Linked DNA regions of Struthio camelus. The protein of the gene in region 1 interacts with the protein of each later gene in a biochemical or structural test. Links are inferred from orthologs where the notes say so. Each region holds a gene or a part of one and is shown on either strand. Other genes may lie near its edges.

Region 1 (9,198 bases):
AGAAACCAGCCCGGGAGAGGCCTCCAGTCCCTCAAGTGCCCCCATCAAGCAGATCAGTCAGTACCAACATCATCTGTATTTGTTCCTGCACAAATTTCCATCCACTCGGAGAGAAATTCATCAGCGCTCATATCCACTGTGCAGTGAGCAGCTGCTGAGCAATAGCTGCTCCCCCATCCTGATGTCAAGCCGGAGCAGTGACATATGCCATGTCCACACTACAGCAATAATCATATTGGTACACAGTAGGTCTACATGCAATCTCTTATGCCTGTTCAGACAGGAAAATAACCCATGCCATGAGGAGTCATGTTTGTTCTAGATACTATTTCCATAGCTTCCTACCACAGGAAGCTTCTACACAAAAAGAAAAAGGGCGATACATCACAGCAGGACCCCATCATTATTTTAACAGCATTGTTTTTGCAGCATATGCACATACATTCTTGTGGTAAGAAGTCTCACATTACCAGTCTCTAAACTAGTCAGCACTCAAGGGTATCAAATGGAGAAAGACCTCTTTCCTGTGACATATTTTCCATTTTCGCTTCAATTATTTCTCTAAATGCTTTTCTACAGCCTGTTTCACTCAGGCCTCTCAGCTTCTGCTCAAGGGACCCTTCATAATTTCATTTTGTAAAAGCCACAGCACCATAACATGTGGCTACGGAGCCAGCTGATGGGACACGGTGAGGTCACAAGCTCTCCTGGGATAGGAATCATTAGGAAGAGATAGAAAACAGAATTTCATTCATTTGCTCTCTGTCAGGCAGACAAACCCCCCAGTTCTCAATTGGTTTTTGTGGAGGTTCACCAAGGACGAATATATATCCCCTTCTGTTTGCTCAATCCACAAGGAAGGGACAGCATACTCTGTTTCACTGGCTGTCCTTAGAAGAACCATCCTCCGGCCCAACAGCCATACGTTATATATTACGCCACTGCAGCACTGCCTGCCTAGATCCTCTCAAAAGGATTCAGGAGGTTTGACAGCATGAAAACAGCAGAGCCAACAGGTGAACCAGAGCTTTGCTCACGTTTTCCTGAGGACCTATTTTCCCTTTCTTCTTAGTAAGCTATAGCAGAGTAAATCTTTCCCCTTAGGGGAAAGGTAGGACTCATCAAGACAAACAAGCGGGTCCTGGCCTATGACCCGGGCTTCAGTAACATAACTGTTTCTGGAAGGTCCTTCCCCTGGCACAGTTCCCAGGATCCCTGGAGGATGCTGCATGGACTGTAGGAAGGCAACTCGTGCGGACCCCCAACCCCTCTCTGGATGTGTATTTATATGCTAAAACAAAAACAACAAAAAAATCATTCCAACTCTGCTTTTCCACCAGATACAACCACTGCACCGTTTTCCTAATACATTTAGCACAGACTGCACTCGCGGCCCAAGCCTACTCTTGCACAGGTCCAAAATTTGGGGACGCTCTCAGATAAACAAGCAATTCATACAGCACCGCAGCCCCTTCCGATGGCGGGAGAGCTGTACCAGCCATTTGTTAGCAAACTGTTCCCACGGAAAGAAAAAGTGGGGGTTTGGGGAGGAGGGTGGAGGGAATGGGAGGAGAAACGATGTGCAACAGAGGTTGCCACAAATACAGCTTGCAGAAAAAGAAAAAAAGCCACACAAACACTGACCAGGTATCGCAGCAGTAGCTGCTTTTAAGACAAGTCACCAGCGCCCTGCACCTCGCTCGTAGGGGGGGGGGGGGGTCCTTGATAATTAACCCATGTATCAGGGATTGCAATTATTTAACGAGGCCGAAAAGAAGCCGGGGAACAAGCCCCTTCCCCAGGCGTCGTGTGCCTGCGCTCGCAGCCGGTAGCCAGGCCGGCGGGCTGCGATCTCCCCAGGCTGCAGAAGATGAACGTGAAGGTCACGGGAAGGGAGGGCGGCAGAACCGTGCCCGACACAAAATGGTAGCACCGGGGGATCGGGGCAGAGAGATAACCCCGTCCTTCCTGCGCCTCCTGACATGGCACCCGCGACGGAGGACAGCGGAGCCGGGCCGGGGGAGGGGGCGGAGGGGATTAAACTTAACACCTTCCACCACCGCCCCCGGCTCTCGGCGGCCACCTCCACCTCCGGGGCCGGGCAGCACCGAGGGACGCGCCGGGGCAGCTCAAAGACGCCGCTCGGGAGCGATTTCCCCGACTTTTCTGCTCCCCTCCCTTATATAACAGCTTGCGCCGGGCAGGGGCTGCCGCCGGGCACCGGCGCTCACCCCCCCCTCCGGCGGGGAGACCCGCTCCCTGCCCGCGGGGCCCGGCCCCTGCCCCTGCAGCCGGCAGCTCGGCCCCTGCACTGCCCCGTGCAGCCGGCAGCTCTGCTTCTGCCCCTGCAGCCGGCAGCTCGGCCCCTGCACTGCCCCGTGCAGCCGGCAGCTCTGCTTCTGCCCCTGCAGCCGGCAGCTCGGCCCCTGCACTGCCCCGTGCATCCAGCAGCTCTGCTTCTGCCCCTGCAGCCGGCAGCTCGGCCCCTGCACTGCCCCGTGCAACCGGCAGCTCTGCTTCTGCCCCTGCAGCCGGCAGCTCGGCCCCTGCACTGCCCCGTGCAGCCGGCAGCTCTGCTTCTGCCCCTGCAGCCGGCAGCTCGGCCCCTGCACTGCCCCGTGCAACCGGCAGCTCTGCTTCTGCCCCTGCAGCCGGCAGCTCGGCCCCTGCACTGCCCCGTGCAGCCGGCAGCTCTGCTTCTGCCCCTGCAGCCGGCAGCTCGGCCCCTGCACTGCCCCGTGCAACCGGCAGCTCTGCTTCTGCCCATGCAGCCGGCAGCTCGGCCCCTGCACTGCCCCGTGCAGCCGGCAGCTCTGCTTCTGCCCCTGCAGCCGGCAGCTCGGCCCCTGCACTGCCCCGTGCATCCAGCAGCTCTGCTTCTGCCCCTGCAGCCGGCAGCTCGGCCCCTGCACTGCCCCGTGCAACCGGCAGCTCTGCTTCTGCCCCTGCAGCCGGCAGCTCGGCCCCTGCACTGCCCCGTGCAGCCGGCAGCTCTGCTTCTGCCCCTGCAGCCGGCAGCTCGGCCCCTGCACTGCCCCGTGCAACCGGCAGCTCTGCTTCTGCCCATGCAGCCGGCAGCTCGGCCCCTGCACTGCCCCGTGCAGCCGGCAGCTCTGCTTCTGCCCCTGCAGCCGGCAGCTCGGCCCCTGCACTGCCCCGTGCATCCAGCAGCTCTGCTTCTGCCCCTGCAGCCGGCAGCTCGGCCCCTGCACTGCCCCGTGCAGCCGGCAGCTCTGCTTCTGCCCCTGCAGCCGGCAGCTCGGCCCCTGCACTGCCCCGTGCAGCCGGCAGCTCTGCTTCTGCCCCTGCAGCCGGCAGCTCGGCCCCTGCACTGCCCCATGCATCCAGCAGCTCTGCTTCTGCCCCTGCAGCCGGCAGCTCGGCCCCTGCACTGCCCCGTGCAGCCGGCAGCTCTGCTTCTGCCCATGCAGCCGGCAGCTCGGCCCATGCAGCCGGCAGCTCTGCCTCTGCCCCCTGCACTGCCCCGGGCAGCCGGTAGCTCTGCCCATACACTGCCCCGTGCATCCCGCAGCTCTGCTTCTGCCCTGTCCCGGGCAGCCGGCAGCTCGGCCCCTGCCCAGTTCCGCCCTGCCCCTGCAGCGACCAGCGCTGCCCCCGCACCGCGCTGCCCGCGCACACGCATCCAGCGGCTGCGCCCGCGCCCGCGCCCCGCGCTGCCCCCGCGCCCAGCCGCGCTGCGGCGCGCCGCCGGCCGCCCTGCCCGGGAGGCGGACGGGGCTCTCGGCGAGCACCTCACCTCCCCACGAAATTCTCCAGCACGGAGCTCTTGCCGGCGCTCTGCCCCCCCACCACGGCGATCTGCGGCAGGTCCAGGTTGGCGTTCTGGCCGATGGCGGCGAAGGCATCCTGGAGCCGGTTGACCAGGGGGATGAGGTCCTCCATCCCGCGGTTCCCCATGGCTGCGGCGCCGCACCGGCACCTCGCCCAGCGCAGCTCGCGCCGCCGCCGCTCTGCTGGCGCCGCCGAGGGGGCAGTGGTGCCGCGCCGCGGCCCCCCACGTCCTCACCGACGGGTGGCCCTGGCGGGTGGCAGCTGCCCGCTCGCTCGCACCTCGCCCGGCTCTGCGCTGCCCCGCTGCCCGCCCGGGCTCCGCTCCGCGCCGCTCGCCCGCGCCGCCGCCAGGGGGGGCTGAAGGGCGCCCCAGCCCCGGAGCACGCTGGGAGTTGTAGTGCGGGCAGGAGCGGGGGCGCCCCGCCGCGGGTTCCGCGCCATCTTGGGCTGCCCCGAGCCCCGCGGCGGGCGGCGGTGGGGGTGGCCGCCGGCAGGAGACCGCGCTCCCCGAAACTGCAGCGACCCCCCCCCCTCCGCTGCCCCAGGCCTGGGGGCCGTGCGGCCCTCGGCCTGCGCACGGCGGGGCCCGTGTACCTGTAGGGTTGAGTCGGGGTGCGTGTGCGGTTTGGTTCAGTCACCACAGGGGTACGGTGCAGTCGCTGCCCCTGTGTGGTGCGGTCTGTAGAGCTGTGCGGCTCCGCTGACGCGCTGCGCCGCTTGGTCAGTGTGCCTGTACGGTTGGGTTGACGCACCTGTGTGGCTGGGTCAGTGTGCCTGTACGCTTGGGTTGATGCACCTGTGTGGCTGGGTCGATAAACCTGTACGCTTGGGTTGATGCACCTGTGTGGCTGGGTCAGTAAACCTGTACCTGAGGGCTTTGTGCTAGGGGGGCGCTTGTGGAACGGCCAGAGCATGAGTGATGCTTGACACGGGATTAAACTGGGGGCGTGCAAAAACGCTCCTGCATTTCTGCCCCTTGACTTAATTCACTAAGGCATGGGTGAAAAACTCCCGGGTTTCTGTTCATGGCTGCAAAACAGTAGATGCTGCTGCTGTTGCTATGTTTGATTTACAGAAATGCAAAGTACTTCCATTTTATATGCTTCCATCTTCTTTTAAAAAATTAATTTGCCTACAGTAAAAAGGTAACCGGTTTTAGGCTTTTTACAGGGATTTTTTTTTTTACAAAAATATAGTGTTGAGGCCATATTTGACTTGAAAGTGTACCAGTGAAAACAAGGATGTTCAGAAAAGAAACTGATGGCTAGTGGTGACTCAGGAGAATGGAGTATGCTGCATTTCCAACACTTCTTCGTCCATGCTATCCAGGACTCTTCTTCGCAGCTTAGATACAGCTGGGGGTGGGTGGGGGGGAGGAAGAGCAGAACTGCAACAGATTTTGAGCTTTATTTTTCATTGTAAACAGCCACTCTTTAGTTATAATGGTTCTAAGCAAAATTTCACAGATCCGTCAAACGTAATCTATGCAGAAATGCCTGAGTATGCAGAGAAAAGTGGAACAACTGTTGTGAGGGGTGAATTTACCTCCCTTGCGTCAGTGAAGATGCCCAAGGAAAACGCTTTGAAAATGTCACCAGCGTTCAGGTAAGAAAGCTGAGGGAGGGAGTGAGAGCTGCTCCGTCTGTGTAGGTAACGTTATTGTAGGACGCGTGTGGGTTGTTTTGGGGGCTGTCAATGCTAATTTTTTCCTTTCAGCAAATTGCCCAGCAGATCCAAGGAGAAACAAGCTTCAGAAACCAGTGTAGACTGTGGACAAATGTCTCTGAGCATCTGCTCAGCCATTCTGGTCACTTACGTAGAAGGAACCTGCAGAAAAAACATCGCTTTTCTTTCAGAAGTTGATACCTCCCCCTTGTTAGAGGTCTCAGCAAAAAATAACAACAAAGAGTATCACAGGCTTAAAGAATGGTGTCATATTCCTCCCTGGCTCAGAGCTGATGTTGCCCCAAGAACCATGAGGGGAAGGTTACCCTTTGCCAGAGGTTGTGTAACCTGCAGTTACCCTGCACAGCTCCAATTTCAATGCAGGGGAGGTTTGCCCAGCTCCATCACTGTGATGATGTCGGATAACAGTAGCATTTGCGGCCTAGCTAGTGCCTAAAGGGCCTTGATTTCCCTTCCCTGCCCTTCCCTTCCCCCCCCACCATGAATCCATACCTGCCTTTAATATTTCCATAAAAGCAACTATATTTGATTGTGGCAATCAACATTTTTGCTAACCATCAAACTACAAATATTGGATTTCGCTCTCATCTGGCTGTTTAGCATTCTAAGCAGGTATTTTGCTCTAAGTGAGCCCGTTTCAATCCAGAAATTATCATTCAGGATCACACCGTTCTCTGGAAGAGCTAAAATTAAATTAATACATTTTTCTTCTACCAGGAAAGGTTTGTGAAGTAACACTGAAAGCACAGTATGTCAACAGCTGACATTCAAGACTGGAAAAAAACAGGATTCATGTCGTCAGTTAAGGATCTGGTGCAGCAGAAAGGCTGCAGCAGGACTTTTTTGCAGGTATTCTTTGAGGTATTCTCTCTCCAATTTTATTTTTTCCATAAAGTTGCTCTTTAGATCTCAGGAAACATATGGACCATTATTTAGGGGTTTGGTCTAATCTGCTGAGGTCTCAAGGAGCAAATGCACAGTGGAGACACTGTAGGGAGTTAATAAGGTCTTCTCCAAGTAGGGAAGAAAGGTGGAAAAGGGGAAAAAGAGGGTTAAAAATCTGCAGAAACGTTGGCAAACTTTGTATATATTTTTATCTGCAGATCGTTGTGAGCGTAACACTATAAAACGCACAAAGTACCTTCCTGCATCCCCTGTTTTGCAGATGCACTCATAAGTAAGTGAGGGTACATGTATGCCTGCAGCATTACCCCTACAAGAACTCATTAATATCGTGGAGTCTGTCTAGGCGCTCCTGCAGCAGTTGTAATCATATCCCCCAGAGAGCAGAGAGACCCAGCCTGAAGCCTCAAAGAAAGTGAGGTTTGATTTTAAGAAGCTTTAGAAACCTACACCTCCCACTGATGAAAATGAGAACTGCAGGCCCTGGGAATCCCCATCCTAAGGCCTTCCATTTTCTCTCCTGCAAGAAACTGATTTGCAAGGATATTAGCAACAGACAGGCCTTTTGATTCTGTAATACCTCCTTCCTATGACTTACTCAGCAGCTTGTAGCAGCCGTAGGAGAAAAACAATTATGTGATCATCCTTCATGGGGAAATACTGAAAAATGGGAGGGATTTGGAAATAAAAAAGACTTTACAAACCGGACCAGACAGGAAAAAAATCTATTTGTATCTACCTAAGAGAAAGACTTTTTCCTCAAGGTCTTGTAAATATTTCTGGCCATACTTTTATATGAATCCCCTAAAAATGCACCTGAGCATAAATATGTCTCTTTCCATGTATTGCTATCAACGTAAAAAACAATATAGCCAATCCTGGGAGAAGAAAGAGTAAAAAAGGTGGAATATAATTACCTTACAATTCTCCGAGTCATCTGCAAACTATTTCTCAGAGGTGCAAATGCCTCACAGTTCCTTTTGACTTGAGCCAGAGCTATGGATGTTCAGCACATTTCGCAGTGGATCATAAAGTGGATGCTCTTGGTCCTTTGGTTTTGTAAGAAATGTTTATAAATAAAGGTAAGAATGTAAACTCCAAAAACGATCAGAGGTAGGTTTGTCACTGTTTGTATCCATATTGAATATATTATATAGCTGATGAATAGTTAAAAAACAAATAAATTAACCTCCTAAGTTGTTTATAGGCAGCTTTACACGGTCATATAGATTTTTTAAGTATGTATTTTGTGCCATAGCATCATTGCCCTTTTATAGCGTCAGGTGCTAAGAAAGGTCTCCCTCAAGTGTTATTAGTTGGAAAAACTATCTGAAAAAGAAGCAGCCTTTATGTTGTGTTTTTCAAATATGTAACTTTTCTGCCTAGAATAAAACAGTGAAATACTTTCTCATTTTCTCTTCTGTTGTGAGACAGGAAATTTGCTGAACTGGTCCGAGAATCCCTCAAGAAGAGGTAAAAGAAAGTTAATCTAGTGTATAAGACACTGGGGTCAGGTTTATTTTTGGTGTAACTCTACAGAAGTCAGAATATAGTCCATCAGGAGAGGGATCTGGACATAGATGTGTGTTTAGATAAAATATTTTAAAAGCAGCAAAGCTGAGTTCACTGGGCTTTCCACATCCAAAGAGAAGATACAAAATAGGAATATATTTTGCCCTGTGAGACTGAAAATCATTGATAGAAGCTGTTTGGCCATGTGGCAAAATGGTGTAAAAGATGTATGTTAGTTTATATACTGTGGGCCTGCCCTGTCAATCAAGAAAGATTGGGAACAGGTTTCTAAAGCAATAAAGCGAAGACTGGGTGCAAGTGTCTTAATGCATAGATTATCTTGCTTTAAAATACTGTGTGCTGCTGCTTTCACATGTGTGTGAGTATGGTATTCCCACAGATAAAACAGACGTGGAAAACGGCAGAACTCCAGTAATTCACATCAGCAGTTGAGGGCAGGGCTGGTGAAACTTGAAACCAAATGTTACCTATTCTTTCAGTGGATAGACCCCAAAAGCAGAGAGGTACTGCTTTTAAGTACTTTAAAGTTCCGTAGATCTTTTTCTCCAAGGAGTTTGGGAGGTTCAAGGACATTAAGGTGGGAACTTCTGTCATATCCTAATAAAATGGGTAAGACCATCCTTGCAGATTTCAACAGAAATTGTGGGCACTTCAGTTTCTTGGTGCTCTTGTAGGCACTAAGAAAGTGAGACTGCAGAAACCAGAGACTGCTTCTGAAAATTCAGTTGTGTGCATCTCCACCAAGGGTTTGATAGCAAGTCTTCCGCAGAGGCAAAATTAAAACATACAATTGCACAGTCAGTCTTGTTCTGTAAACTGGAGATGTCTGGTTATCTGCAGACCTGACCTGGTCCATGGAACAAATCCATATAGCCCAGTAAAAACTTGACTGACTATATCACGCAATCCAGCCCCTGAATAAAAAGCAATCATATGGTCTGTCCCCTCGTCTGCCAAGAGGTCAGACGACCTTGATCTAAGTCATACAGAAGTAAACTGTAGGTTGCCTTACAGGGATCCAACAATTCAGCTAATGTTAGTCTCTTTTCTGAAGAGTACTTTCTTGGTCATTTTCCTGTATTTACCTTTTTAGTTCTCATCATTCTGTTTAATTTATTCCCATTGTCAATGAGACACAATTTTTGCTGTGTAACTATCCCTAAGCTTAGTGGATACCTAGGTTTCTGCGACTCAAAGGGGACTGAATAAGAACACTGTATTCTTTACTGTAGCACTATACATTTATGAGATTCTATGTATTCTCACATAGCGACATGTATTTAC
Region 2 (8,658 bases), on another chromosome or scaffold:
GTACAACCGCCAGCTGGCGAGAGGCAGTACAGCTCTCGCAGAGGGAGGTGACTCCTTGACCAGTATCACACCCCGACAGAGCTGCCTCCACCCTAGGGCTTGTACCTTCAGACCAGGGCTAGATAACCTGCTGATGCCAGGTAGTGCTGCTATTCTACGGCTACGTGGTACTAAACCCACAAACCCACTCAGCTAGGCATCAGACTCACCAAGGAACGGCAGAGGAATGTTTCTTTGCCCTGTCTGTCCAGCTTTTCTATCTACCAAGCATATCCAGTTATCGTGGTTAATGGAAAGTCTGGCATGCTAAACTTTGTGTTTCAGGACTTAAATCAAGGCTCTGAGAAAAGTAAATGGCGCAAGTGAAGCCATTTCCCTACCGCAGGATTTTGCACCTTCCTGGGTATCTGAGCGACCACCGTTGGATCAAGGCTGGACGGAGCCTGGGACCGGCCCGGTCTCACATCCCTGGCGCTGACGGAGGCTGCAGCGCAACTTCCCACCTTGCTCCTGGCTCACAGCGCTGGAACTCAAAGATGCTGTTGTTTCTCCCCCTACCTCTTGGGAGAATGTTTTCGATGGGATTTTTCCCCCTCCTTAAAAAAGGACATTTCACTGTGAACTAGCAAAACCTGTTCTGGACGCACACACAGAACTGTTCACCCTCTGCGGCATTTGCAAGCAGGATTTTTTTTTGCAGGATACTATCTCGGCTCTCTCCTGCGTGTGGGCGCCTGGCAGCCTCACCCAGGGAACATGTAGACCCACAAGAATCAGATAAGTCAGGCCTTCCTAAAGGCAGGAGCTCAGGACCAAGCCCTCTTCACCGCCTGCAGCACCACCCTGCTTTGTCCGGGTCTGGAGGAGGCCGAACTGGCAGCCTCTTCTCGCTGGGAGGCAAGGGGGAAAATCCCACACCCAGAGCTGCAGCAACAGAGAGGTTCTGAGAGGGTCCTCACAGGCCTTGGTCCTGGCTACGTTTTCCTTCAATCAACAACAGACATGGAATTAACTGCAACATTTTAGGAAAAATCTTCCACATGTTCGGGTTTGGCAGCACCTAATACCTTTAAGAGAGCCAAAAAATAACTAATCCTCCTTCTCCTTCAGCCAAGGAGCCCAAGAGTGGGACTGGTGGAAGGAGGGGGAAGAAGAGTGAAAAGGGAAAGAGGAGGAGGAGAATGCAGGAAAATGGTAGAACTGGGACCAATCGCTCCCAGATCGCAGAAAAAGAATCTCTAAAGCTCAGATACTTCTGCGTCCCAGCCCCCAGGATGCTCCAAAGGAGCCAGCAGTGTCTGTCCTCTGATAGCAGACTGCCCTTCTCTACTTCCCCGCAAAGCATGCAATTCACTTCTGCAATGGTACCGTGAATATTGGCAGCAAGCCTCGCGTTAAACGCAATTTCTTCAGATTAAATCAGTTTCCAAAACCCTGCAGCAGCACGAGCTGCAAAAGAACTCAAGGTGCAATTGCACCTACACCTTATCTCCCACTTTTTAGTAATGCCCTTGAACATAGTGTTCAAATAAAGCATGTGCGTACACACACAATATACAAACAGGCCACTAAGTCAGAATATTTGGGCTACATCTCACCAAAGAGCTGCATGGGGTTTAATTTTTCCACGAGCAACTAGAACGGTTCCTTTCAAAAAGTTACATATGGAACAGAAAAACACCTGCAAAGGCCACCTGTGATTTACCTCAGTTTAAAATAATTCTCCTGGTGAAAAGTTTCAGCAGATGTTTTAGGATGACGCACTCGGACTTCAGAATCACGTTACTTTTGACTCACAGATGAGCTTTCACCTCTAATTGCCCTGCTACGACAACACAGCAGATCTGCACAAGTAAAATCCTCCAACAATGAATTTTCAGTGCAATCTTTCCCTTGGAAGTTGTAAAAAACTAGATGCAGGGGATTGCTTTTCTGTCGCAAGAAAAGGGATGGGGGAACGACTTAAGGAATTTATTATTTTGCTTTGCTGCTTAAGCAAAATGCTTTTACATGAATTACAGCCAAGAAAGGAGGCAACACACGTAGCAAACATATTTGGACCAAGCTTGGAAGTGTTGAAACATTACGCCTGGAAAACACACAGAGCCAATTGGTAGATCAGTGCAAAACTCATCTGTCTTAAATTTAAAACAGGGGCACAAAGTGCTTGTGAACTGCATTAGAGGCCAATCCCCCCGCGTTCAGCTGGAGAACTTCAGCCCACCGCCAAGCTGTGAGGAGCCATACCTAAGATGTACTTTTTACGAAGACGTAAACACGCTTTTTAGTTCAGGAGCGTCACTTTGAACTATCAATTAAGGAAGATTTTAAATGGCTTCGTTTGGCTAATAAATTACTAAAAAATTGCACCTCTGACAGTTTTTCCAGAATCGCCAGGCCTCCATTTCCTGTGCAGCGCATACACAGGCTGAGAAGCTGGACACCCTCACCCTGCAAACCGCAAAATCCTTTCCCAGTCCCAATGTCAGCTACTATCAAGGAAGCGGGAACTTCCTGAGGTTAGGCTGCAGCTGCAATCTGCCGCTGCTCTCTGCCAGGCTGGGCTTAACGAGGGCCGGTGATCCCTAGCCAAGACCTCACCTTCCGGGCCTGAATTCTGCTCCGCTGCAGAATTTCAGCCTTTCCGTCTTTATTTTTTTGCTCCTGGAATCCATACACCGACTCGACGTTTAGTCCAAGAGCATCTCACCGCCTGCAGGCTCCTTGCCGCGCTGGTCCGTCGCCGCCCTCGCGCCCTGATGCCCACGGGACGGCTGCGGCTCGCTGGCGGCGAGGTTTGGGGCGCGGAACGAGCTCCCTCCGTCCCGGGGCCGCCGTCCCTTTCTGGCGACGAGGCGCAGCGCGTCCGCGCCGTCGACCCGGAGAGAGGACTTCAAGCGTCGCTAGAAAGCGGCGGTGGCGGCCGACCCGGCGTCATCCCGAGCCCGGGACCCGCCGGTGCGACAGGAACAACCGCGTCTCCTGCCAGCTCGGCCCAGGGCTCGGGCAACCTCGGAGGGCGACGAGCGGCCCAAGCCGGGAGGCTCCGCCATCTCGCTGCGCCGGCGGCCCTCGGCCTCCTCGGGACGCGGGAGGGGCCCCGCCGGTGGCACCGAGCTGGCAGTGACAGAACCGGCACCGGACCCCGGTAGCGGGGAGGGTGTGGGGGGGGGGGAACGGGCACCGGTCCGGGATGGGAGTAACGGCGCGTTGTCAGAGGGAGCGGTACCGCCACCGGACGGCGATACCGGGGGGGGGGGCACCGGGGAATAACGGCTGGCACCAAGCTGGAGGACACGAAACCGGCAAGGAGGGCACCGGGGGGGGGTGACGGCGGGAAACGGGGCAGCACCGAAGCACGGCAGCGGGGGGGGGGGGCAGCGCGCCGGGAGGGCTGAAGGCGGCGCGGGGGCAGCGGCAGGGCGCTCACCTGGCTCGCCTTGTAGAACTGCTTCTTCAGCCCCGCCACCGACATGCTGCCGCCTCGGCCGGCCGCGCACGGACACAGCGGGCGGCGGACGCCTGGCGCGCAGCTTCCGCCGCCGCCGCCGCCGCCGCCGCGGGACCCGACCCGCCACCACTGCGCCCCCTGCCGGCCTGGCGGGGCGCCGCCACCGCCGCCGCCACCGAGAGGCGCGCGGCTAGAGCGCCGCCCTGCTGCTCGGCGGGCAGCCGCGGCGCCCCCTGCCGGCGCGGGCGGCGCAGGCCGCGAGGGAGGCGCCCCCGGGAGGAGGGGAAGGAGGTTGTGTCGCGATAGTGCCGCCCCGTCGGCTACGGTTTCCGGCCCGGCGCAGCGACGCCTTCGCCGCGGCGACGCTTCCGCGCTCTGACCGCCGCCTCAGCGGCTCCGCTCTTACCTGGCGGCGGGAGCGTCGTGGCAGCTCCGCGGTCCAGCGTAACTCTCCGCAGGAGACGGGCACAAGCCGCCTGCGCGGGAGGCAGCGCTTTCTCAGCCGCTGGTGCAAAACAGCTCTCTCCGGACCCGTAACCGGTTCCGCTCCCGCCCTGAGTGCCCTGCTACGGACCACGGGGCGCGTTTATAAACCTAAAGTGAAAAAAATACCTTCAGCGACGGAAGCGTGAAGGGTCAACTCCTACAACTGCCAGAGCGAGGCACCGCAGGGCGCTCGCTCCGTCCCTAAGGAGGGGGGACAACGCCAGCCCGCGAGCGCCATGGGGCCCGCAGCCCTCCCGACCAGGAGGGAGCTGCTCCCGGGGAGGCGCGGCGGGCAGGCTGGGCGGGGGCCGCGTCCCCAGCAGGCCCGTGGCGGGGCGCTGCGTCCCACGCCGCCTGGGGCAGGGCAGCACGGGGGGTCAGGGGGCGGCGGGCCGAGGCCTGGGAGCGAGGGCCCGTGTGGGGACAGTGTGGGGACAAGCTGTGCCCCCCTTCCCGCCCGCCCCCCCCCCCAAGGGCTGCCATAGCGCTGGGAGAGGCAAAGGGGCGACTACAACTCCCAGGAGGCTCTCCGCCTCGCAGCCGCCGCCGAACTACAACTCCCAGAGGCCCTTGCGGCAGCGTCTTCGCGCCCTCCTCCCACACCCCCGCGCGGAGGGGGCTCGCGCCGGGAAGGCGCTCGCTCATTGGCTGCCGCCGCCGCCATTTCGCGGTTTGGCTCGCGCCCCCTTGACGGCGCGGCGCGGCGGCCGGGTCTTTCCCGCTGCCCGGCGCTGCGGAATGGCCGCTCCGACCTCTCCGGAGCTTTCCCCCGGGACCGCATCGCCGCTGTCTCGGCTCCCGCTCGCTGAGCAACGAGGCCTCGAGGCCAGGCGTGAAGAGCCAGCTGGAGCCTCCCTCAGCCAGCCAATCAGCTCTGCGTAGCGGGCCAGACTGACAGCAGCCTGCGCCAATCAGCTGCGGCTATCCCGCTGGCCAATCGGAAGGCAGCGAAGGCGGGCAAGCGCCGGGCCTCCCTCCGCCGGGCGAGGCGGCGTTCTCGCGAGACTTGGGCGGCGGGCGCGGGGGCGGAGCGGGCGGAAGGGCGCGTCACGTGGGGCGCGCTCCGCCTATCGGCGCGGTGAGGCGCGGGGTCGCCCCGGCTCCCGCCAAATACGAGCGGGTCCCGCTCGGGCGGGGCGAGAGGGGACCGGGCCGGGCTGTTGCCGCTGCCGCCGGCGGAGGGAGCGGCGGGCGCCGCCGCCCCCGCCCATGGCAGGTAGGGGGGGCTGCGGGGCCCCCGGGCGGCGCCCTCGGCTCCGCCGGCCCGCTGCGGTTCCCGGCGGGTGCGCTGAGGCCTCCTGCGGTAACAAAGGGAGGCGCCGGGCCTGGTCCCGCCGCCGCTGCGGCCCGGTGGCCGCTGTCCCCCGCTCGCTGCCGCCGCTGCTACTCGGGGGGTGGCCAGGCCCTCTCAGGGCGCCGGGTCGCGGCTGGGCTTTGTGTGGCCGAGAGGTCCCGACTGCCCTGCGTGTTGGGGAGGGGCGTCGGGGCCGCTGTGGCCCGGCTGCCCCTGGGGAGCAGGTGACTAAGCAGAAACCTGTCACTGGTGTTTTTTTTTCCTTGCAGCCATGGAGTGTCGAGGCAAAGCGGTTGTTCCCCCACGGAAGCTTGTGCAAGGTAAGGCTCTGGAGCAGGTGTCTAGCACCCAGTGCGGTCTTAGTGCTTTAAAACGTGTCAGGCCTGAACTTGTACAATAGATTGTGTTTGCGATAATAAACTCTTCCCTTCTAGCTCATCAGTTTCTCTTCTTGTGTTTAAGAACTAGGTGAATATTGCAGTGTTTGTGTCCCTTCCCCCCCCTCCCCCCATGGGTTTATATGATGTGACTAAAATAGCGAAATGTTATTGTTTCAGCCCGGCTGCCTTTCAAGCGCTTGAATCCTGTACCAAAGGAAAAATATGATGCGGATTCAGAAGTCAAAAAAGTAAAGAGCTCACAAAGCAGTTTTGGACAAAACAAGGATTCCTCTCTCGATACGTCATGTGCGTCCCTGGACAATGTGGAGAATGACTGCCAGTTGGATGCAGATGTGAATTTTACTCCAAAACTTGTTAACGGAAAGGGTCCGTTAGATCACTTTATACAGAAAAACACAAAACATAACACAAATGACACTGTAATCATTATTGACCTGACAAAGGACTCTAGCCATAGACTGAGTGATGATGTGGACCATGCTAATTTAGATTCAGAAGCATCTTCATCTGTAGGTATAACTAATGGCATGCTAGAAAAAGATATAAACCAGTCGAGTTGCATGAATTCTAGTCAGAATAGCCCAATGGATGATTCAATGGAGACTGCACCGTGTGAAGCTGCGGCAAATAAAGATGAAGTTTTGGTAGGTGGAAGCCAGTCTTGTTCTGGGTTACCAGAGTGTAACAACTTGGAGAAAACAAAGATAAATCAGAGTGAACTGAAGGATGTCATATTTGAGGGGAAGATGCCTGTAGTGCTCCTGGAGGATATTATGACTGCCAAGTCTCCTCAAGTTGCTTCTCTGGATGGAAGCATCACATCAGAAAATGAGACTCTGGAATCATCCCGCGAAGGAGACTCTCTACTTACTAATTCCTCCTTAAGTTCTCACTCTGTGAGCTCACCTGAGGCACAGCCTGCTGCAGAAACAAAGAGAAACTGTAGTCCTTTAGCTGTCTCCACGCCTATTAGGAAGGTTGGTCTCTCTTCTTGGGTTGTTTTCTAAATATTATTTCATTAGAGTAGGGAGTATAGTAGGTAATAAGGCTTTCTGAGCTCACAGTGGAAAGGATGACTAGGATATTCACAAAGCTCATGGGAAGAGTCTGGAGAGCGTTGCCAACTTATTCATATAGTAACTGAACTATTACCCTTTTGAATCCTTTAAACTGTTTACCTAAAATATTTAAATCTTGCTCTTTTGAGCTGCTGGTAAGTTCGCGTAGTGTCAATGTAACTTTAAGTTCTATTATAGATTCATGCTTATAAATTGATGATGAAGTGCATGCCTCGTGACTTATCATTTTGGTAGTTAGCGCGTGGACAGTGTTCAAAAGCAGTTTTGTCTGTAAGTGATGTTTTACAACCTCCATTCTGTACTTCACGAGGCCGTTCCAGTTACTATGACAGAACGCTAATTGGAAGCGTAGCCTAGTCACTTCTAGCACAAGTCGGTGCGGATACTTCTCAAGTTCCGTGTTTCTGAAACCGGGGGGTAGAAAACAATGCTTTAAGCGAAGCTGCAGTGCCTTGAGGACCTGTAAGTTGGCAGTTGAGGACAGAGGACAAGTCAAATGAGTCTTTATCTGCTTCTCAGAATTAAGGGTACAAAACTTGTGCTGTCAGCCATCTTGATAGGTGTGCACCATTTGACATGGGCAGTTGCTTTAGGGGAAAAGTCAGGGTGTGTTCAGCGCTCCTGGGGTCATGTGATGCTTTTGGCCAGCGAAGGTTGGAGCACAAGGATGAACACCTCTAAAGCCATAGCTCTGCATGAGCTGGTGGTTTGGAATCTGAATTAGTTTCAATTTAGTGTCTCGGCTCTATGGAGAAAGTGATGAAAGCGTTGTGACTTTTGGCCCTGTACTGCAAGGGGAACTCTTAAATTAAAGAGGGCATTATCTGCGCAGATGGCTGAAAGGATCACATGACTTGAACGGTTGAGAAGTGAATAGGCTTTTCCAGAATATATCCGTTGAGATGTAAAGTGGGAGTTTCTCTTGCAGCAGGCACAATAACCTCATCCTTAAAGGCGTGGGGTAGAGCAGTCCTGGTGAATGGGCTTGGACACTCTAGGCAAGCCTGGCCTAGACTTAGTCCGGACTATTTGGCCTGTGTATTTGTTTTGCCCTAACTACATTATTAGAGGGGAAAATCAGGAAAGTGGATATTGCCCTGTGAGAGTCTGAAAACGACATATGTGGCTTGAGTAAATGAGGGTGAAGAGATGGAGCAAATTAGTAGAATAGGAAAGTATACGTGCTGAGCAGGGGTGGAACTGCTCCTGGGTTTGCGCTCGCCAGTTATGTCTTCTGGCGAGAATTGCTTTCTGCTGTTTTGAGCCTTTTGAGAAAGCTTTTCATCAGCTATCCCACTGGGATGTAATGAGAGGCTGTACCGCTTGTGAGGGAAAAATCTCATTGGCCTGAAGGAGATAGCAATAAGCTAGCTGGGGCTTGGATTTCATGATGTGACAGGTCCTCCGCTTCTTTTGCTGTGTGAATTGTCTCAAATCAACCAGTTTTAGACTGTTAAAACTTGCAGTCTTCCTCCTCTAAAATACATACTTAAACTCAAGTAGGCATGAACTATACCCAGTGTAGCAGAGCAACAAGTGCTGGACTCCTGGCATAGTGTGATAATGCAAACCAGTTACTGGCTTTGCACGGCTTGAAGTAAGGTAGAGTACCTCATGTTGTATTTGCCAAAGTGAGAAATTTACACTGTACAATTATTTGTCCTTGTAAGTGTGTTTTCCTAGGTGGAAACAGTTTTGATAACAAGCTCCTTATTGAAATAACTCAATTTTGCATTAGAAAACGTAGAATCTATTGATACAGCTTTACACTGTACAAAGTACAAGTCCGGGTATAAAAAAAACAAAGCATTTCATGTGTTTTAGTTTTTTTAATCTCGAGGATAAACATGCTACCTTATACTGAGAATGGCAGGAGAGAGGGACGCAAGAAGGCTAACTTAGTGTGCTTAAAGAAAAATATTGACAAATTAAATATTTGGTCAGGTG

What was found.
Region 2: the proteins of DNM1 (region 1) and SH3GL1 form a complex in vitro, tested with the Homo sapiens proteins (2 studies listed by BioGRID and IntAct, with this or other methods). The link is inferred for Struthio camelus from reciprocal best matches to the Homo sapiens genes DNM1 and SH3GL1.

Annotation. Positions count from the first base shown.
Region 1 is NC_090961.1:7,432,207-7,441,404, reverse strand, and holds the start of DNM1 (dynamin-1), read right to left. Parts: upstream 4,090-9,198; 5' UTR 3,919-4,089; coding exon 3,758-3,918; intron 1-3,757. UniProt on the Homo sapiens protein: Catalyzes the hydrolysis of GTP and utilizes this energy to mediate vesicle scission and participates in many forms of endocytosis, such as clathrin-mediated endocytosis or synaptic vesicle endocytosis as well as rapid endocytosis (RE).
Region 2 is NC_090967.1:4,458,582-4,467,239, forward strand, and holds the start of SH3GL1 (endophilin-A2), read right to left. Parts: upstream 3,594-8,658; 5' UTR 3,476-3,593; coding exon 3,431-3,475; exon of another isoform or gene 2,602-3,430; intron 1-2,601. Other genes in the region: CHAF1A (chromatin assembly factor 1 subunit A), read left to right, coding at 5,147-5,153, 5,501-5,551, 5,789-6,609. UniProt on the Homo sapiens protein: Implicated in endocytosis. May recruit other proteins to membranes with high curvature.